Caenorhabditis elegans: one gene and its partners. The protein of the gene in region 2 interacts with the protein of the main gene of each other region in a pairwise test. Each region holds a gene or a part of one and is shown on either strand. Other genes may lie near its edges.

Region 1 (4,572 bases), on a different chromosome or scaffold from region 2:
TTAACTAAATATTTTCAGAATCACTGGAACATTCCACTTGTTCAATCTCTGGGAGTTGAAGGTGGTCAGCACAATACGGTGTCATTCCCATTACACGGAAAAGACGCTGGAAATTTGAAAGTTGACAACGGATACGGAGTCGGTGGTTACTATCAGCAAAATGATCATGTTGGAGTGAATTACAAGGAAGGAGATGTTCGACACACATTCGGAGTTAGTTCTCCGTTTGTTGGAGCAGGTTTCCAGACTGGACAGGCTGTTGCATTTCCTGGTTTAGACGTTTGGGAACGGGCACTTGGATAATCTAGAATGTATTATTTGTTGTTTGAATGTCGATACAGGTTCAATGAACTCAAAAATTGTTAATTTGTGAAATAAGTCTTTAGAAAACGCTATACAATCATTTTTCTTCCATCTTTCGCGTAAAGTATGTACTGTGCTTTCTTGAATATTTTTATCAATTCAATCTAATATCTAGATCATTTCTAGGATTTTGCCAATTTTCAAAAAAAAAGTTCAAAATATAAAATCTCTGTTTGTATATATTGATTTTCGACACATTTTATTTACGATTAATAAAGTGAAACAATCAACGATTCTTTTCTGGGAAAATAGGGCAATACACAAATCATAAATACACAAGGTAATGACAGAAAAATTAAAATATTTGTCTCTAATCTACGACAACTATATTATGCACCGATGTCAAGTGTTGTTGAAGATGATCGGAACGAGAAAATTGGCGAATGCAAAATTTGCAAGCAAATCTGAAATGTTAGCTGTATTTAGCTGAAATTTTAGCTGTTAATGAATTTTTTTGTTGGAAAGTTTCAAGGCTATAACAAATTGAATTCTTCAACTGGTACACGCTTTAGGAAAAAAAATTTCAAGAATCATGTTCAGAAATTTAAAACGCCTTATTACCGGATACCTCAATATTCAATTAATGTCTAATTTGAATTTGTATTAAAATCTAACCTATATTCTTTTGTATGCGTCCTCTTATGCCTGATCAGTTGATCACTTCTGTCAAATCTCTTTCCACAATCAAACCAATCGCAAACGAATGGGCGGTCTCCGGTATGCTTCCTGCAAAATTACAGTAACTCATTGTTTTTCAAGTCTAAATTTATATCGTGACCACTTATTGCTCCAATATTCCAGGAAATTCACCTTAAATGTGCTCTTAAATGGCTTGTCTTTTTATATGTTTTTCCACAACCAGGGACACTGCACAGGTGAGTGTGTTGAGACCCTCGATCGCCATGCTTTCTGCAAAACATGTTACATTTGGTTTTGAGGACAAATATTGATACTAATTTGTCAAAGGAACACCAGTGCTCAACCGACAAGGTTTGTTACCACAAATAAGGTGAAAGGGCACAGCGGGGAAAATAGAAAGGAGCTAATGAGTCATTCTTATCAGAAACAATAAACAAGGTCATAGCAGTTAAGGAGGTGACCGCTATAAATAATTTTTAACAATTCTTACTTTTTTATCTCTATCTAAAATTATTAAAGTTGTAGAATCATCTCAAAACTGTTGTTCGCGTAAAAATCTGAACCTTGCAAAAAGGAACGAGACAAAAAGGATAAAATAAATTGAAATATTCAGTATATGACCAGTTATTGTTAGTTCATTGTCGCTTCAGCTCTTGCCAGAACTACAGAAATAAGAGAATAAATTACTTTTCTTTGTAAAACGATATGTAACGAAATGCGCTTGTTCAAGTGAAATTACGCAATTAACTTTTCAGTAGTTCTTTCTATGAGTAAGGTCAGTTATGCACACTTATTACTGTTGGACGGTCTGATCAAAAATATTCTATAGAATTTCAACATGAAAAATTTGCTCTAAATAAATGACCATGCACCGTACCAAAAATTCAAAATGTTTTAAATCAGATTTTTTGGGTTTCCATAGAATTTTTAATGAAACGAAATTATTGTTGAACTGATTTTCAATGATAATATTTGTACATGGCTCAGTTTCAACTTTTGAATCTACAATTTCAAGGGCACCCACATTTCCAGAAAGATCGAAGATCTATTTTGAGCTTTGCTCCACTACATAATACAACTATGTTGAGCTTCTTTACCGTAGTCGTCTCTATTCTAATAGCCTCATTCAACTAGGCCGCCCGTCGCGATTCAAGAACTCATTCCGACGCCTCCATCTAAATCCTTTCTCCCTCTTCTGCTTTCGGCTTCTCATTTCTTCTAAAACCCATAAAAACTCACATGGCTTTGCAATTCGGGCATGTGCATCTCTCGCATTTTCTTCTCTTGGTGGTCAACTCATTGGCTCCAATGCTAGATGAAGATGAGCTTGCAGATGTGGATGCCGGAGAGTCAGGAGGTGATATTGAGGGAAGCGAGTGATGATAACTCCCATGGCTCTCCCATGGACGAAAGAACTTTGTTGCTGCTCCGTCCATCAGTTGTCCTCTGCTGTGGTTCCAAATAAACCAGGACAGGAGGTCTCCGTGAATGAAAAAATCTCTGTGAGGGTACTGGTGGTGGGCGGAGCTCTTAGTCCCTCCCTCCCTTGCCACACACTCGTTACGGTGGGAATTAGCGGTAGTGGGGCGCCAGGGATTTTTCTCTCTCAATTCCCCTCTGTCTTTTCACAAAAAAAAACGAACAACATTGGGGGGCTCCGCTCCGCTCTGATAGACCGGCGGCGGAGAGGCGACGGCTTCTTTTGATGTTGTCTGTCTCTTGGCTCTCCGCGTTATCAGCCTCCTCTCTTCCTCCAATGATGGCGGCATCATAAAAGAGGCACCGGTGCCCCGTAATCACCTTTTTCACTTTTTCGTCTGCAGTGTCCACACAGACTCTCGTCATTTTAGGGTTATTAATCAGTGTCCTTTTTGATAAGAGCTCACTCAATTGAGTACTTGTGCAACCTGAAAAGAGGTGAGTTGTGTGATTTGAATCGAACAACTGAACAAAAAGGGTGGAGCAGTTAAATGAGAGGAAGGAAAAATCAAGGAAAATTGATACAGTTCTGGAAAATTATTTCAAGAGTTCTTCTGAGAAAGAAAAAAACTATGAGCATAGATGTGACAAGTTGATAATTCTGAAGGGTCAATTCTCAAGGGGTACTGTATGGTTAATAAAAACATTTTTTCACTTCGCAATTGTATTTTCTTGAATGTAAATTGTCAGTTGGGCATAAATTACTCTGAGATTCGTGGCAACTGGGGACGGGAATTGCATACCGTTTTTTCCAGTTGATCCATTTTTCTACAATAATTTTTTTCATTTAGAAAATTATATTATTGAAACTAACTCAATTTTGCATTGAATCAGGTTTTCTCATAAAAAATATCCAGTTCAAGAAGAAGTGCGGAATTTTCATCTACAGTGGATGCAAATTCGACAGTAACCACCGTCCATTTTTTTTAGAAATCTTAATGTTACGGTATACTTTTTTTGAGCCCCAAATATCTCGTAACTCTTTGCTAAAGCAAAGAAGATTTCTGCTTTGTGAAATTGAATATTGATGCATTCAAGACAATTCGACCTCCTCAAAACCAATGAACCTGGACGATTAACGACGTGCACACGACGACCCCGAGAACCAAGTGACAAATGCTCGTTTTTTGTTTCGTTCGGCAGCAAAAAGTAAGAGAGATAGATGAAAAGATGCACTTTTAGAGTTTTAGAATCGCGGAGGTCTTGAGGGAAAAAAATGAGAATGGCACCTGAAATGACAGGCAAATTTCAGACTTAGATGCGGGGATCTTGTGAAAGTAGCGTTTCTCGCTAAATCTCGCCAACGAACGGTTTTTTCAAAGCAAACTAAAAACTGATACTTTGCATTGATTATCATGCCAGACGGTATTTAAGATTATTAAATGAATGACTATTAAACTGTGGGTGCTAGCAAATGTTCTGCACTAGCGATGTTGGGGCACTCCTCGGAATTTAAAAATAATTGCATCAAATCTCTGAAAATCCTTCCAACGGTGAAAAGTGAAACAGATGTTGCTAATCCGTTACCGTACTACCAAGAAAACCGAGAAGTTTCCGTCGTGCAGTATAACTATCCTTCATGGTCACTTACAGAATCGGTAAACAGCCACGGACAGGCGTAAGATTTTATGCACATCGTATTATACTTTGTAAGCTGTAATATTTTATTTTAACATAAAATTACTGTACATATTTTGCTTCCTCTATGACAGTTGCGTACCTTTCAGTATTGCACTGCTTCATCTGTTCTTTAAACTTATTAGCTTGTCATAATGTTGTCATAGACAGGCAACTTGCAATTTATATAATTATCGTTTATAATTATCAAATCTATCATTTTTACAAATTGTTCAAAACAGTTCCATTTCTATTGTTGTCTCTATTTCTCTCCCGTCTGCCAATACTATTTCACTGTCGTTGCAAGTGTTTTGTTAGTTAAAAAGGTCAGGTCATTTCCTCAATCTGTTCGCACCGTGCAGAGTATCGCACCGCAATAAACATATATCCAGAAGAAAGGAAAGATGACAGTCTTCTCTTTCTTGTTTCCCTCTACTTTTTGCTCACTTGTTGTGGTCATAGTCATCTGCTCAA
Region 2 (5,259 bases):
TCAATATAAATTGTGGATATTCGGTGCGAAACTGTTTCAATGCGCTGATTAATAGGACCACATTTGTGTCAAATGTTCATTTCAATTTGTGAAATGATCTAAAACAGCGGCATCCCAGACATAAAATGTATGTAGTTCCAAATGCCTCGACCACATACATTTTATTATTCTCATTCACCCATTAAACATCCCTTTTCCATCAACCGACATCAATTTGACCCAAGGTGACCCTTATATGGGAATTTTCTATTTCTGGAACATAAATCTGACTTTCATTGTATTCGTTGTCATAATGATGACATAAAGTGCAAACAAATGTGTACACCATCGTCTCACCACCATCTGTTACACACATCCAACCAATTATCGCCTTCTCGAATCTTTGAATGTTTATAACCACCCATCACATCCCTCCTTTTTCGATAAAATCTAACATTGTGGGAAATGAATGTGTCAATTACTGAAATGAAATGATTGATCAAAGGGCATAACCTTGTTAGTTGTTGATAGCTTCATTTACCTTAATCCTTATATAAATTTACGCTGCCCTTAAATCAAGTGTCGTGTTCAAGAATATATTTTTCACGAGACGACTTGCACTCTTAATCTAAAAATGTATTTTTAGGTGAAGCAGGAGGTTGATGACGAAGAAGAAAGTGTCTCCAGAGGCACGAGTCCAGTCTTCTGATCAGTTAGCAATGAAACGACAATTATATTTGATTTCCTAATGAGTTTAAACTCTCGAGTTTTTATATGTGTAATATATTCTTCAACACTCCGGAATGCTTCTAATTAGTTACAAATGACAAAATGGAGCTTCATTCATGTTTTGGTTTTTTTTTAAATTTTCATGACTGCTACAGTATACCGTCTTGTTGTTTAATCTAATAGAATCATTCAAGAGTTTTTATTCTTTCCATTTGAATCTCAATTTTCACTATTATCATTTGATTCTCATCTCATTTTCTTACCGATTTTCAATCTCAAATTATTTAAGAACATACCATGTCAATAAACTTATTATTTGTTAAACATGATTTTTTAAAAATATTTTCTTCAAGACAGGTTTATGTCTCTTTATTCAATATTTCAACCTTTTCCGTTTTTTTAGATAATTTTGTGAGTTTTTTATACTGGAATTGTGATTATGTACATGTAAAATATTTATAAATGCTTCTCTCTATAGTAAGTTGCAGCTTCATCGTGTTTGATTCGAAATATTAGTTAGAAATCCTCGGATCCTCGTGTTACTTGAATATCAAACTTATTGGATACATTCATCTTCTACACTCGGGCTCAAAAGAGCTCAAAACAAATGTGCTCTATCGACAACTCCTCCCCCCATTCGGTCACCCATTCAGCGTCGCATTCATCGCCGCGCGTTCGTCCTCCTCGACACCAATACCTCCTTCATTCTTCAACGTTAGTGGGGCTATATGACCAGTCGTTTTGCAATTAATGTATGATTCTCTCCGTCTACACCACTGGAAACCCATGTCCTCTTTCTTTGTTTCTTCGTCTCGTTGTCAACGTCTATTCAAACCACGTGCTATTTCTTGAGTTTTGTTGTCTTCTCCCAATCCATCACTAGTCTGTTCTTCCTTGCATTTTTTTGATCGAATTTTTAAAACTCCTCTCATAATTTTTATGTTAATAATTCACTATCCACTTGATTGTATTTAATTTTCAGTAAAAATGAAGGCATCGTATCTGGAAACCCTCGATCGAATCAAAGACGAGCATGCGGAAATGTCGAAGCATGTCAACCAGCAACGAGTAAGCTTAATTTTGTAAGAGAAATTTTAGTATATTGAAAACAATTTTGCAGTCGGATATCGAAAAGGTTGCGTTAGAGAAAGAAAATATGAATAGATCGTATATGACGTACGCTGAAGTATCAAATACTCTTCGTAGCGATCTTCGAAAAGCAGAAGAAATCAACAAACGCCTTCAGGAATTCATCATGCAATCGGTAAATTAACTCGTCAATAATGTTATTAAAAAATCGAACAAAAATATAGAAAAAGCTATTACAATTTTTTTGTTGAAATATTTGAACTAAATATTATGGAAACGTTATAATATCTATTGGATTGTACCTTGTTCAACTCAAACATGCTCCTCTTTCCATATATTCATTTATAAATAGAAGAAAAATTATTATGTAATATTTTTAATTCATAATAATCAATTTTAGGTAATATTATAAATGTATATTTTTCAGTTGGCTCCTCAACTATCTCAAGATAATCAAGCAAACTGCCTCGCCGCACTGGAAGCTTTCAAAACCGCATCACCACGTGAAAATGGAAATGGAGCACCAGCACTTCCACCAGGTTTTCCTCCCGGTGCAGCTGGAATGCTTGGAATGATGCCAAATATGCCATTCGGAATGAGCCCTGCAATGAGTCAACTATTCAATCAATTCGCATCACCACATGTCAACGGTGGAGATGGAGCCGGTGGAAGTTCTGGAGGTGCAAGTGAAGCGAAAAAGGCCAAGCTGGAAGATCCAGATGATGGAGAACTTGAGATTGATGTCACAAATGATGATCATCCAAGTACTGCATCAAATGGAGGCGCAGCTAATAAAAATGGAAGAGATAGCACAAATAGTGTTGCCTCATCGGGAGCATCTACACCGAGCATCGCATCAAATTCTAGAGCAAGACAACAACAGCAGCCACTCGCTGGGCTTCAAGGATTGGAGCAAATGAACTTTTTAGCTGGATTCAGTACGTGTTTACAATCTTTTGAAGTGTGCTAAGTGGAGGGAGCAAATACCAAAACTTCAGGCAATGCCAAAATATTTCAATTTTCAGATCCAAATCTTCTCCGACAAGCTAGTGCTGCTGGAGGATTCAACTTTTTGAATGATCCCCATGCACAGGCCCGTCTTGCAGCTGCCATCGGGCAAATCGGTAGCAGACCGGCCTATTCATTCAAAATTGTGGACGGTGGAGTTCCAACACCTACATCCTTCCCTCCAGATGCACAGAAAGGTCCCGGAATTCCGACGTAAGAAAATATAATAATTGGCTTTGATTCAAATTTGAAAAAAAAAATTGCAGAGGTCTCAAGAAGAAAATGGAATTAAATCACGGAGAAGTAGTTTGTGCGGCCACAATTTCCCGTGATAACAGTCGTGTTTATACTGGTGGAAAAGGATGTGTTAAGATCTGGGATGTCAAAGAATCAGATATTTCTGGCGCAACGGTTGTGAATCGGCCTCCAATTGCATCCTTGGATTGTCTCAAAGAGAACTATATTAGATCTTGTAAACTCTTTGAAGATGGAAATACACTTCTGATTGGAGGAGAAGCCAGTACTGTTGCTCTTTGGGATCTTACAACTGAAACAAAAACTTTGGACTTGGAAACTGATTCACAAGCATGCTACGCGTTGGCGATGTCACCAGATGAGAAATTATTGTTCGCATGTCTTGCTGATGGAAATATCCTCATTTATGATATCCATAATAAGGTGAAAGTTGGAACCCTACCTGGACATCAAGATGGAGCATCATGTCTCGATCTCTCAAAAGATGGTACAAAGCTCTGGTCAGGTGGTCTTGACAATTCTGTTAGATGCTGGGATCTTGCACAACGAAAGGAAGTTGCGAAGCATGATTTTGCGAGCCAAGTTTTCTCTCTTGGATGTTGTCCAAATGATGAATGGGTGGCTGTTGGTATGGAGAATAATTATGTCGAGGTTCTGTCAACAACTGGAAAAGAAAAGTATCAATTGACACAACACGAATCATGCGTCCTTTCGCTCAAATTTGCGCATTCCGGAAAGTTCTTCATTTCAACTGGAAAGGTATGTTTTGATTATACTTTGTCATTTACCGTATTTCTTCTATTAGTATGGCCTCCCTATTAGACTTGCACTCCCTATTAGTATTGCCCCTCGGAGACCTTCCAAAAATTAGTATGGCACTCCCTATTGCACTCTCTAATAGTCTTGCGTTTACTTTTTTTTTATTGCAAACCCATCTCGCTAATTTCAGGATTTCAACAATATTTTTTGCCTATTGTGCAACAATTTTTCACAAAATTTATACGAAATTGAAGTTTTTGAACTTATAGGTTACAATTAAAATCAAAATTTTTTGTATTTTTACATAAGATTCGAGCTTTTTCAGAAAAAAACTAGTAAGCTCAAAGTCAGAAAAATATTCTGAAAATTAGTATTGCACTCCCTAATATTCTTGCACTCCCTATTAGTCTTGCAAGCGGGAAGACCATCGAAAAATAGTATTGCAGCCATATTAATAGAAGAAATACGGTAATTGGCTCAATTTTTCTAATTGAAACCTCATAATCTCAATTTTTCAGGACAATGCTCTCAACGCCTGGCGTACTCCATACGGAGCATCACTCTTTCAACTAAAAGAGAACAGCTCCGTTCTCTCATGTGACATCTCATTCGACGACTCACTCATTGTCACTGGATCAGGGGAGAAGAAGGCAACTCTCTATGCAGTTGAATATTAATTTTTTTCCGCAGTGAATTTATGATCATGATACTCAAAACCCCTATTCTGTACGATAATCGTTTCATCTCTCTCATCTCTTCTAATTTCGTTTGTCAAATTTTCGTATTTGTGTACCCTATTACGATTAATGTCACTCTATGTTTAAAACATTTATTTATTTGCACTACAAAACAATGATGATCTGACTTGACTTTAACAGCAATTAATAAAACATTTCAAAAATCTGAAACTCTTCCCTTCCTCTCCCAATCACCATATCGAGTTGGCTCTGGTCCAGCTGGTCCACCAACTTCTCCAGTTGACTTATTCACACCTCCCGGATGTTTCTTGAGGTGAGGATCTTCATATTGTTGTTCGTCTGCTTTATCAAGTGCTCCTTTCGGTGTCTTCTCAGCCATCACCTTCTCCTTCGCACTTTGTTTTGGTTTTATATCTGCGAATCGGCGGGAAGAATCTGAATCGTCAAGAAATTAGAAAATTGTTTTTTGTGTAAAATCCATACTCAAAATTGGACGAAGAATCTGACGAAGCATTTGATCTGAATATTTTTTTTAATTGTTTCAATAGGACTAATCTTGCGACTAAAGTTACATCGATATCTCCAAGGCTCCACCCATTTTTCCTTCAGTAACATATGAAAATATTGACAACAAATCTTTATCACATATATAAAAGTCCATAGAAACAAATGTTCTTTGATGCATTTCAAGAAAGTGGGCGCATAAGATCAAAAGAATAGGATAAGAGCTAAGGTAATTTAA
Region 3 (4,939 bases), 960 kb from region 2:
AAGAGTGGAGACAATTTCAAGCTCATCTATGATCTTGCTGATAAGCTCGGAGCCGGAGTCGGAGCATCCCGTGCCGCTGTTGATGCTGGATACGTACCAAATGACATGCAAGTCGGTCAGACTGGAAAGATTGTAGCGCCGGTAAGAAATCCATTAAGTGAGAAGCAAAGAAAAATGAATTAATTTATAGGAACTCTACATTGCAATCGGAATTTCTGGAGCCATTCAACATTTGGCTGGAATGAAGGACTCAAAGGTGATTGTCGCCATCAACAAGGATCCTGATGCACCAATTTTCCAGGTAAAAATTGAATTTAACACAAAATTGTTAATTCTAAATAATTCAGGTCGCTGATATTGGATTGAAAGCCGATTTGTTCAAGGCCGTCCCAGAACTGACTGCTGCTCTTCCATGAATACCTTCAAATAGCCTAATGTAGATGTGTCTTCTAAATTATTGTATTCTATTTAGTAACTCGGTTTATCGGGATATTGTGATTTTCGTTTTTATGCTTTCAATGTGAATAAACAGCCAAATCTGTTTTATGAGCGTTATCACGCGATTCATAAAGAACAATTGAGAAGAGCAACACTGGAGAAAACCGAAATGAGAATTTTGTATCAAATATCATATTCACAAGAAGCACGGAAACAACGAGAAAATGCGAGACAAGTGAGGTGACGAATTGATAGATAAATACTGGAAAATTTGAAACATTCCTGGTGATGGTTTTGTGATTGGGAAATTACTCTTCTATTAATCAAAACGAGATACCCGCTGCGGGATGCAAAAAAAAGCGAATGGGGAGGATTGGGGGGAACAAGAAACTGAAAGATTTCTCAAATTTTTGAAGAATAAAAATGATGAAACTGATGGGCTGGAATAACAAAGAGATCGACAAAAAAGTCCGACGCAGCAGAGAACATTATGAGAATTTCATTTTAAAATGGACGGCGATTGAAAAAAAAAGAAACAACGAATATTTAAAACGGAAAGTTGGACCTGTATTAGAATGCGAAAAGGCCAAACATAAAAACAATATTTTTCAAAAAAGAAAAAATGGATCCAGAGGTCAGCCGCCACCGAAAAAGGAGGATTTTGAGAGGATGAGAGATTACACTATATATCGATAGATATCACAATCGATAATACTAAAATATGTCGGTACAGGATCAAGCAACCGCCACTGTCGAATTTTCTTCTTGTTTGATTGTTGCAGTAGCAGTAGTTGCGGCCACAGCAGCAGCTACATCATGTTCCATTGTCTGTGGTTCTTCTTCTTTAATCGTTGGTTCTGTGGTGGGTCGAGGTGAATTCGTGGCTGATGTGGTTAATGGAGTTCGTGTTCGAGAAGCGGCTCCAGATGTTGATGGATTCCTTGATGGTGTAGAAACTGCTACCGATGCAGCGGCGGCCATTTGCTGAAACTGGAAGATTATGAAAATATGTTGTACAGAAATGGATAGAAAATTGAGATATCGAGGTTTTTGGAATATCTTCTGAAGGAGCTAAAAAATATTAATTTCTTCTATCTTTTCTAGTAATAGTAAGTTTTCTAGTAATATCAAACTGCTCTAAAAAGTACATTTAAAACATCCTTTGTATTTCTACATTAATTTTCTTGAATTTCACTTTTACTGTCGTAATTTCACTAGATTTCAAATTAAAGGCTCACGGATATTTTATGATGGGATCGGTGCGCAAAACGTTTATGGTAGTTTTTTTTGTTGAAATTTATACTTCAAACATAGACGTTTTTTAGCAGAAAAATTCGCTAAAAAGGCAAGGAAGATGCCGTAAAAATTCAAAAAAAAAACTATCATAGATTTTTCCCCGCCGACCCCATCTGGATAAATCCGTGCCCCTAAGAGAAAATTACGATAAACATAATTTAATCTCAACATTTTGAATAATAGTTAACACTTACCGCATTAAAATGTTGCATTGCAGCTGCCATATTATTCGGTGGCATCATTCCAGGCAATCCAGCCATTCCCGGTGGCATTCCAGGAACCATCCCTGGCATCATCATCGGCATCTGCTGAAACATTTGAGCTTGCATCATTTGTGCCTGGAATGCTTGCATTTGCATGTGCTGCATCATCGACATCCCATTCATTCCACCGTTTTGTGGAGCTCCACCTTTTCCAGAAACACGTGGTGATGCTCCACCCATTGCATTCAGCATTGGATTCCTCATCATCATATGTGGTTGCATTGCAGCAACTGCATTCATCATTGGAGGTGTCATCACTGGCATTTGAGGTGTTCCGTTCTTGGAAATTGATTCAAATTCCGCTAATAATTGTGATTGTTGCGATGGATCAGTAATTAATGCAAGAAACGTCCTTGCAAGATTATCTAATTTCTTCGATGTATCATGAGCTTTCTGGAGGTCCTGCTGTACTGAATCGTTCATTTGTTGTTGCATTTGTAGTTGCATTGATGATAAATCCTGTTTTGATCGTTCAAGTTCTGATTTATTCGAGTTGAATTGGCTCGATAGACTTGTCATTTCTTTTTTGATTGCATCAATATGATCTGCTAGTGACATTCCGCTGGCTGATCCACTTCGTTTCCTACTAAAATATAAATTAAATACTGTTCATATTCACCAATTTCTAGTTTTCGAATTTCTAGTTTTCTAAAAGAAATTAAACGCTGTTTTTGAATTTATTTTGATACTTTCAAAATGAAAAATATGCCTCTAGTGAACCTTTCATATTTTTAATTTTCTCAACTTTTAGAATACCATTTTCAACTATTTGTCAACAAATCTTTTACTTTTAAAATATAATAAAAACCTACTTTTCCCTTGAACTACTCGAGCTAGGATGCGAGAAGTTCGGATTCGCGAATCTTCGTTGGTCCGACGTGATTGTAGACGGGGGTTGATCGACAGGCGATCAAAAATTCCAAATTTTAAAAATTCGAAAACGATACAATTCCAGAGTCTTTCTTGTTTGTCGCGAAGAAAAACAACAATTTGAATCCGTCACGGAGCAATGAGCTGCAAAAAAGTAGAAATAAAACAAAGTTTGAATTGATGGTTGTGATGGCACACACACACCAACGGCGGGGCCCATTTTATTTCTTCAACGACGATTTTTATTTTTATTATGAGAAAAGCGATAAAACAACGGAAAAGATAAAAAAGTTCTTTGAGAAGACGAGCGGACAGGGGGAGGAGGTCTTGTTTACACGGTCTTTTAAATTGTGAACTTTTGCGTCAATGTGTTTGCGCCGGCGCCATGTTCTACGCCAAAACCAATTACCGCCGGGAAAGTGAGAAGGAGACGAAGGAAGGAAAGGACATTTTAAGAATTTGGAGACTTCCGAAATTACTAATTTCAAAAAATCTGTAATAACAATAATTTCAAAGGAGTTTGCACAAAAATATGCTGCCTGGTCTCGACACGACAGTTTATTGTAATATGCGAAAAGGTGTGTGCCTTTAATGAGTACTGTAATTTCAAATGTGTGTTTTTGCAGAATTTTATCGATTTTTTACATTTAATTTTACGATCAAAATTTCGCAGCAAAGTGTTTGAAGTCGAGACTGTTAACCGTTTTTTTAGATTAAAAAATCTCAAAATTTCGCGTCTGGGTGATACAGATGTGATGATTTTTGAAATTGAAATTGAATGAAAAACTAGTCGAATTTCAAATATTAAAAAATAGCTCAAACTTGTTTATTTTTAAAAGCCAAGTGAAAAATTCAAAAACTTTCTATCTATAAGTTGCAAATTGTGCATCCCCATCTTCCAAGGGTAATAAATAAGCCAGTCTAATCGGCGCAGAGGAGTGTTGTAAAAGAGAATGCCAACTGATAAGTAGTGATAATGAAGAACATATTGGGTGTCAAAACTTTTCCTCTCACTTTTTTATTCGTTTGAAAACGGCGGAACTTATTTTCTGATTAAAAAACAGAGTGCACTCTGGCACGTTATGGATCCCAGAGCCTAGACCCCGGAAAAAAGAAACGCCATAAAAATTGGTGGTAGGCGGCTCTCTGGCTCACAAATCTCTCAAAGTTTAATACCGAACATGAATAAAAATTTAAAAGCGCCTGAACCAGGGGGTTACAAATCGTGCGAAAATTTCGTTGATATTAATTTGCTGAAGTATTTGGAAACATTGAAAAGTCAGAAAGTCGAGCTTATTCAATACCACAAGACTTTTCTAATACTGAAGATGAATATAAATTTGTGTAGTGTTGTGCAAGAATGAGTCTTTTGTATTCGATTAAAAACGATGGGTTTTTGTCTTCTTATGTGCGCACGACCACAAGGAGAGAAAGAAGACGGCTCTTCTGCATCCACCACCAAATGCTCATTTTATTCGACTCGAAATGACTGGTGAGCTTTTGATGGATGGAGGACTCGGGGGCCTCCACACAAAAAAATGCGGGAAGAAGAATTGAGAGAAGTAGAGGAAGAAAGAGGAACGAAAAGATGGATTACAATCACATTTATATTCTTCTAGACCTAGAGAATGCCTGGTTGTTTCTTCAATTTTGACACCACAGGTGCGGCTAATTGCCTTTGAAGCTTCGAGCTCAGAAGAAGCTGAGACTTCAAAAGATATATGTGATGGATGGAAAGGGAGGAGCGAAATATCACGTAATCGAGTCTTGTGATTATCAGTTATTATCAACATAATTTCTACCTATGGTCAAGCTCACGATGATAATTATAGGTTTTGATGAAGAAGTTTCTAGAACCGAAGTGAGTTGTCGTTGTCCTTATAAAGTGCATTACTGCGACTTCTAGATAATTTTTTATATGAAGAATTAATTACTGAGAACATGGATTTGTTAATTATGACAATTATTCTGAAGTCTAATTTTTTCAACTGTCAAATGGTGTCGTTAGCCATCATTTTGAAAAAAGTGCAGCCAGTGGCCTGGAAACGACTTCGACGACAAAAAACATTGGA
Region 4 (7,306 bases), on a different chromosome or scaffold from region 2:
AAATATTCCATGTTTTTTGAAAATTGCAAATAGATACCGAAACTTTGACTAAAAACTTTGAAAAATCTTAACCATGTTGGTTATTTTTCGGATGTTCTGGATGTTCAAAAATGAGTTTAAAGCATTTTCTTTATAATATTGGTTGTTGTTCTGTTAGTTTAAAACTTTAAATTAGTCAATAAATCTCAATAAAAAATATTCTAGCATAATCAGGTTTATCTACAAAAACGTAACGCGTTCAAACTATTGACAAAACCATAAACAAATCATTAAAAAGGGGGAAATCAGTCAGCTAATGATTTGGTCATCTAGTTGAATGGGAATATCAGAATGATATGGATATGATAAGAAACGAGGCCATTAACAAGGAAAACGACGATGACACAATATGACATTCAACCGTTCCATTTTCCAATAAATCTCTCGGTTTCTCTCCCATCATTTATTGATTTCTATTGTTTTTTATGTTTCGAATCATATGTAGTCTTCTCAAAACTGTATGATTCACCTTTTTTTAATGATGTTTGTATGCCAATTGCCATTGTTGTAAACGTTTTATTCATCTGTTCACAATATAAATCAGAAAATAATAAATTAGTTTTAAAGCTTACCATTTTTTTTCTCTAAATTTAAATTAAAAATTTACAATTGAAAAATGAAATTTTGAAAGTATAAATCAAAATCCAATGAAAATCCGGGCGAGGCAAGAAACGGAGTGAAAAAGACAATGAAAAGAGATACTTAGAATAATTGAGTTACTGTATATGAAACATGAATTTACTATCTAAACCTCTTCAACATTAACACTCTCTTCTTCTTGAATTGATAATAATTCAGTTATTGATCGAATCGAATGACGTGGTCTTGAAGAGGAAGGGGATGATGCCGATGAAGGCTGAGTTGAGGAATTAAGAGCCAAGAAAAGTTGAACGGGATCCAGTTCTCCGACAGATCTGCAACAGACTCAGTTAATCCACTGTACTAATAAATGCTCATCATACCTATCATCAGTAGAAGAATTTTCATCAAATTGATTGCTACTCGTCGCATCATCCTCTTCTTCAATATCTTCACCCTCTTCAGTTTCGGTTTTTTCTTGTTTTAATAGAAAGTTCAAATTGAAGTTTGCCATTGGAAACAGTGACGTAGGAGTGGGTTGTTGTGGTGGCTTGAACATGTCTTGAATAAGTCTTGGCATTGAAGCTGATCCAATTGAAGGGCGGAATAGAACATCAATTATTGAAGTTGTTGGAATAGCGGCAATTGCATTTATACATCTGAAATAGGTTTCAGACTGTGAAGTTTTCAGAAGGAAAGATGGTACTAGAGCGTTTAGTTTTCATTAGTTTTCAATAATCAATTTCGCTTTTTAAGCAAATAGGAAATAATTTGCATTTTTTGTGAGAACAAAAAACACTGCTTTTTTAATTGTGGAATTTTTTATATTTTGAGCCGAAAAATGAACTTTTGAATAGGATAATCGTACAAAAACTATAAATGAACTTTTTCAATTGGTTAATTAATTAATTTTAAAAAAGAATTAGCAACCTTCAAACTAGCAAATACAATATTTAATTAACTTTGATCGTTGCAACCCACTCAGAAAAACAGCGTTTACCTTTATAGTGAAGTCTCACATTATTCCAAAAATAAGAAAATTGAAAAAAAAAATAAAAAAAGGAACTTACTGGATATATCTCGTCGGTTCGGTTCTATGTGTGAAATTCTGAATAGATGCTAACTGAAAGACAATTTGAATTGCACTTGGTGTATCTCTCCACATTGTGAAATGTTTCAACATCATGTATTCTCTATTATCCAATTGTAAACGTTCAATTATTTCAAACGCGTTAGCAACCTGAACATTCATTAATTTTTCAAAATATTCAGATTCATATTACTGCATACCGCATTTCTTTGCTCTGAGCTACCGGATATCGTCTCAGTCCTTATTTGCTTAGAAGTTATGGCACGTGTTTCAGTTGCATGGAGAACAAGAAGTGCTGCCCAATTTTGTTGAAACATTGTCATTTGCCGTTCTTTAGGTACTCCATTCAAAGGATTCTGACAAAATCCAACAAGTGCAAAAAAGATTCGAGCAGCAGTACCGGCCACTGTGTCACGATTCATTGATGATGTCGGAAGAATTATTGCATCACTTTCTGATCCCATTTCCGGCTGAAATGAAGGAAAATTAAAATCATCTACTTAATAATATTAACTTTTTCACTGAAAGTTAATTATAGAAATTTTAGACATAATTTCCTCTTGTATACGATATTTGCTAATTCTTCCAATCAGCTGTCCCTAACAAGTACTTATGCAACATAATCATTTGACACTATGTTGTCCCCACTTAAGATCCATAAGAGCACAATATTATTGAGTAATTTGTATCCGAATACAAATAGAAACATTAAAACATCTGCCCCAGAATACACATATATTCACAAGTTTTTGAAACTGGCTGATTTTTCAAGGTGCTCTTTTTTAAAGAATCTGTCACGGTTTTGGCACGTATTTGGTGTTTAACTGATAATTAGAGGATATTTTTTTGAAATTTGACGTTTTGAGAAAAACGTACCACAAAAAAATTAAAATGTTTTGTTTAATTCTTCGATAATTGCCAATTCAAAAAATTGCCAACTTAACGAATACTCAGCACTTCCGGCAACAACCAAGTTACCGTGTTGTAGAAAATTGCAATTCATTGCAATCATATTTCTGACCATGCTCTATATCCTAGGTGTTCCCTTCGCCAGTAAAATGTTTGACTATGTTCAAGAGTGACAAATCACCTGTCAGGTGGTACTGTAGATTTGTACAGCAACCGACAACTTTTCACCTTTTTTACTTTTCGTCGCCGCCGCGTCGGTGTCAACTCGACCAAAATCCACCTGCGGATTACTGTACTAATTCTACTCAAAATCCTTTTTTCACTTCACTTTAGTCACTGATTTTTGTGAGTGAGAAAGAGAAAGATCGGTAATCATGAGATTTAAATGGAACTATTTTGAAAGTCATTATGAATTCAAAACTAAATTAGAATCGATAAATTTAATTAAAATTATTAAATATTTTGTCCTTGTAACATATCCGAATTTAAGATTCCCACAAACACATACCGAATTAGGAGAGGATCCATGATCGAACATCATCTGTTGTCGTCTTAAACTTGAGTTACGAGGCCCTCTCTCATGTTGGACAGCATCTTTGTTCATCCCAATTTCCAGACACTTTCTTAGTCGGCAAGCTCTGAAATTCTCCAAGTGTCATCAATCAATGTATGGACTCGAACGTAAAGAGCATAAAAGGGGATCGTAACACTAATCTGTGACCGTTAAGAACTCACCTGCACTGGTTGCGGTGTGTTTTGTCCACTTTGCATTGTCCTTCGGATGGACTGCCTTTGTTTTTGCACACGTATTGACGATGACGACGGATTGAACGCTGAAATTTGGAATTGTTGTTCAATTTCAATGATAATTATGCTAAGGAAATTTGAAAGTCAATTCACATTGAAAAAATATTTCATGAGGTCTCAAATCCTAGACATACATTATAATCGGAGCAGAACAAAGTTAATGTTGCAAAATGATTGTAGACATTTTTTGTTGAAGATTAACACATTTTTATCTATCCGGAAATTCAATAATATAACAATTAGTTTCAGCAAAAATTAGTACCTTGTCTAACCAAGGTGTGCGCTTTTAAAACGTACTGTAGTTCAATAAATTTGTTTCTGTCGAATTTTGGATGGTTTTTCGATAAAAATATATGTTTTTTAATAAAATTCAGATGTAACACATACATTTTTAATAAATCAGGAGAAAAATTCGGCAGAAACGAGAGTACATAATTACAGTACAGTTTAAAGGCACATACCTTTTCCCGTTTAATAAAAAAAATTCACATCGAGACCGGTTACCGTATTTTTAGAGCAAAAATGGGAAACTTTCGCGTCTAGATAATACTTTTTTAAAAATTTTCCACTAAAATTTACTCTCAAATTCGAATATTTTAAGCTATCTAAAAAATGAGAGCTCAATAAACATTAAAACTTACTTTAAAGAATCCAGCACACCCGTCGCAGGAAAAAATACTGTAATGCTTCCCCGACGAATGATCTTCACAGACTCTACAATCAACATCCAATAGAATTCGACCTGAAGAAATAATCATTTTTAGGTGTGAAATAGAATGAGGAAATCAAGAAAGCCAAGAAGGAGAGACTCCAATTATTCAGCACTTCCTGTGTCTCTTGCCTGCCTAATTAATAGAATATGAAAAGAGAATGAAGGCAGAATGGAAATGGATTTGTTGAAAGAAAAAGGCAAGAAGTGAACAATATTTCAAATTGAGTTTCTACTTCTTGGATATTGAGTATTAGTTTTGATGTTGTTCGTATGACTTTAAAAAATTAATTTTATTTAACATCATGACCTTTCAAATCAATTCTAGTTCTAGCTAAATGGTGCTAAATCCACAGGTGCCACGTGTCACAATTGACCCGAAACACCTGCATCTCCCACAGAAACTCTTCCATTCTTGTACTAATTCCATCACCTAACTCATAATTCACACCTAATCATTTCTACCATAATATTGAGTCACTATGTTTAATGACTTCCTATTTTACTTATTGGAGTTCTCGTGCCGGGGAGATTAGGAAAAAAAAAGGAATTTTTATGAAAGTTTTATGTGACTTTTTAGTTCTGAAATCAGGGTTCTGAAATAATGTCTTAATTTTTCAGTTAGAAATTTTTTCTCACACTGAAATTGATATGCATTCAAATTATGATATTCACATTAGACATTTCTTCATTTTCTTTCTTCATTCACACAAACTAGTTTAGGTACAACTACAGTAACCCATCTGCACTAAGGCTTCTAGAACTCATATATAAAGATACATGGATTTACTGTAGTTTGTATATTAATGGATTTATCCCATGGAAGAAGTCAAGGTTCAGATTTTGTTAAATTTGAAGACAATGGGTAGTAAAAAAATATTTAAAAAAAAACAGGAGTATTTCATAGGGTTTTCAAAATTTTGTGAAGGTATCAAAATCCTATACGTATGTATCTTGCCAAAAAAGCTCCCACTTTTTTTTTCGATATTATGCACTTCCAAACCCATTTTTAGGAAATTCTTCCCTAAATATTTCAAATTAATAATAATCTACTCTGAAATTGAAATTAAAATGAGAAAATAACAATTTTATGTGGCTAAGAATGTGAAGTATGCCCACCGGGCAACTCATCCTACGTTTATTAATTGCTCAAGATCCCAATTTTAAAATCTGAGTTTCTTTTGAAGTTGGGAATTGGAAAAAAGCTTTCTACAGCTAAAGCCTGGAAGTTTAAGAAAGCTCATTTTTCCAAGAAAGTTCGAAGTAGAAGTTTTCATCTTCTGATTCTAGATGTTGACGATTAACTTTTTAAAATTGACTTACTGCTTGGAACCGACATCTGTGAAACCGCAGTCATCATTCTTGGCGCCAGATTCATTAATTCAAGAATTCCGGAATATTGAGCACACAGATTCCCAAAAGACAAATTCTCTCTTCTTAAGGCGAGAGTGAGAGGCAGTCGGAAAGGCGAAGGCGAGTCACGTCGTCAAATCATGGGCGGAGCTAGCGACCACCACTGACAGCCGACGGAGAGAAAGCGAAGAGAAACGACTCTGAGGGATACTGTAGACGATGCAATAAGCCACGCCCTGATTGATTTTGAGAGTTTTTCTAGTGTACTGTTTTTCAAATATTCAATTTTTTGTTTTCATAGTATCCAGGTGAATGCCAAATTATTCAATTGAGTGGTAGTTTTATGTTAATAGCTCAAGTAACATTGTTCAGAGTACAGAAAATCTAACTGAGGTGCTCTTGTAGTTGAAATGTTTAACTTATTTTGGAAAACTATAAATCTGAAAACCTAGACCACTGTAAACTTTACTAGTGTGTGAAGTTTTCAAGCAACCACTATGATTGACCACACTCTACTCATCTTTTAATTTAACTTTAACTCGGAGTTTTCAATTTTTATTTAATTTCAATACATTTTATCTGCAGTTTGACTTGAACAAATTTTGAAACTTTCTCAATTAAGAAGTGGTTCTTTTCTGGGATTCTGGTTTTTTCGGAAAACAGTTCTGTATCCTTGGTCATGTTATTATATTTGCCCTATATAGTCAATATTACTCTTGAAAACTCCCTTCCTGTCGGATCCTTTTATTGCTCACGGAGCATCCACCTCATCCCAAAAACTTTGTTCTCTTTTCATCCCGCGCACAATCACCACACACTTCTTGCCGTTGTTGCTCCCATTCTTCAGAATGCCTCCTCAAATCTTTTTGGAGGCACAAGTTGAAGGAGTTTTGGAAGACTCAAAAGAGCTCAAAAGACCCGACGACATCCCTGAGAATACTTGACCATTCATTGTCATCAGTAAAGACTTTATGATGAAAAGAATTGGAGCAAAAGTTTTGAGCAGAGGAATGGTAGTTTTGCCGCAAAAAGTTAGATGGAGTCTGGGGTTCTATGTGAAATATGTAGTAGACTGTTTTGAGAGAAAACTTCAGGTCGTGTGAAAAATTAAATATAAATATTATTTTAGGGAAACTCTAGGTTCCAGACTTGCTTGAACCACAAACGTAAAACTGACGAATTTCAAGCTGTATTTTTTACAAACTTCATTTTCAACTTTATTTTTTATATATCAGTATCAGGCATATAGTTCTCTCTCGGAGAGCCAGAACAAAATCGAACCAAAAAACCAATATCCCTTGATTCATTAAAATTTTAATTTTCTTTGAAGTTAGTTGCTGAAAACTTTAACATTGTAACACCGATTGTAAATTCTTAGATTCGTTATTTAATGTTCTACCCCTCTTGTTCTTCAGTAGGTTGTCACAACCAATTCAGTGTAGTCTATAGTATTAGGTTTCTAAGCAAAAAAAAAAACAGTAAAATATTTTTCCAGCTGCCAGGCTCATGGTATTTTAGAACCTAATAAAATTCTTCAAATGCTCATCATATAAATTGAACTCTCTGTGGCTTGTACCACAGGGTACGAACATGACCTCCATTTCATTTTAGTGGTGAACACCTGCATTTCATTTTGATGCTTACGCAATCAAAAATACTTTTTTTTCTCGATTTTACCCAAGAGTAAGACAATGTGTTGGGATTTTACGCAATATCGAGAACGATGCAGGAAAAGGTCGTTGAAGAGAGATAGACAGACGAGGGTCATACAGGTGTGAACTTTTGGAAAACTTAGCGAAATGGTGGGGGGGGGGGGGGGG

Evidence for each region.
Region 1: the proteins of unc-37 (region 2) and sptf-2 interact in binary tests that used the Caenorhabditis elegans proteins (3 or more experiments, as listed by UniProt).
Region 3: the proteins of unc-37 (region 2) and lsy-22 interact in a two-hybrid assay, tested with the Caenorhabditis elegans proteins (3 studies listed by BioGRID).
Region 4: the proteins of unc-37 (region 2) and nhr-67 interact in binary tests that used the Caenorhabditis elegans proteins (3 or more experiments, as listed by UniProt).

What each region holds. Positions count from the first base shown.
Region 1 is NC_003280.10:8,623,594-8,628,165, reverse strand, and holds sptf-2 (Specificity protein transcription factor 2), read right to left. Parts: upstream 2,708-4,572; 5' UTR 2,439-2,707; coding exon 2,242-2,438; intron 1,273-2,241; coding exon 1,174-1,272; intron 1,090-1,173; coding exon 979-1,089; intron 768-978; coding exon 674-767; 3' UTR 544-673; downstream 1-543. Other genes in the region: T22C8.6 (Ntox44 domain-containing protein), read left to right, coding at 19-303. UniProt on the Caenorhabditis elegans protein: Transcription factor. Probably acts downstream of the Wnt signaling pathway.
Region 2 is NC_003279.8:6,741,761-6,747,019, reverse strand, and holds unc-37 (Transcription factor unc-37), read left to right. Parts: upstream 1-1,690; 5' UTR 1,691-1,695; coding exon 1,696-1,776; intron 1,777-1,828; coding exon 1,829-1,972; intron 1,973-2,224; coding exon 2,225-2,735; intron 2,736-2,822; coding exon 2,823-3,018; intron 3,019-3,071; coding exon 3,072-3,819; intron 3,820-4,337; coding exon 4,338-4,496; 3' UTR 4,497-4,713; downstream 4,714-5,259. Other genes in the region: fnci-1 (FANCI helical domain-containing protein), read left to right, coding at 626-688; W02D3.12 (Succinate dehydrogenase assembly factor 4, mitochondrial), read right to left, coding at 4,714-4,952, 5,001-5,031; cytb-5.2 (Cytochrome b5 heme-binding domain-containing protein), read right to left, coding at 5,256-5,259. UniProt on the Caenorhabditis elegans protein: Transcriptional corepressor that functions with the neural specificity gene unc-4 to govern motor neuron identity. In concert with unc-4, represses the expression of VB-specific genes such as ceh-12, thereby preventing the adoption of VB motor neuron fate.
Region 3 is NC_003279.8:7,704,039-7,708,977, forward strand, and holds lsy-22 (STI1 domain-containing protein), read right to left. Parts: upstream 3,012-4,939; 5' UTR 2,987-3,011; coding exon of another isoform or gene 2,924-2,986; 5' UTR 2,810-2,923; intron 2,584-2,809; 5' UTR 2,556-2,583; coding exon 1,929-2,555; intron 1,429-1,928; coding exon 1,174-1,428; 3' UTR 528-1,173; downstream 1-527. Other genes in the region: etfa-1 (putative electron transfer flavoprotein subunit alpha, mitochondrial), read left to right, coding at 1-141, 191-301, 348-416; F27D4.12 (Photosystem II protein I), read right to left, coding at 2,924-2,986.
Region 4 is NC_003282.8:11,168,021-11,175,326, reverse strand, and holds nhr-67 (Nuclear hormone receptor family member nhr-67), read right to left. Parts: upstream 5,580-7,306; 5' UTR 5,494-5,579; coding exon 5,457-5,493; intron 4,167-5,456; coding exon 4,066-4,166; intron 3,451-4,065; coding exon 3,353-3,450; intron 3,256-3,352; coding exon 3,126-3,255; intron 2,918-3,125; exon of another isoform or gene 2,788-2,917; intron 2,179-2,787; coding exon 1,909-2,178; intron 1,859-1,908; coding exon 1,689-1,858; intron 1,278-1,688; coding exon 1,002-1,277; intron 954-1,001; coding exon 785-953; 3' UTR 536-784; downstream 1-535. UniProt on the Caenorhabditis elegans protein: Orphan nuclear receptor that binds DNA containing an extended core motif half-site sequence 5'-AAGTCA-3'.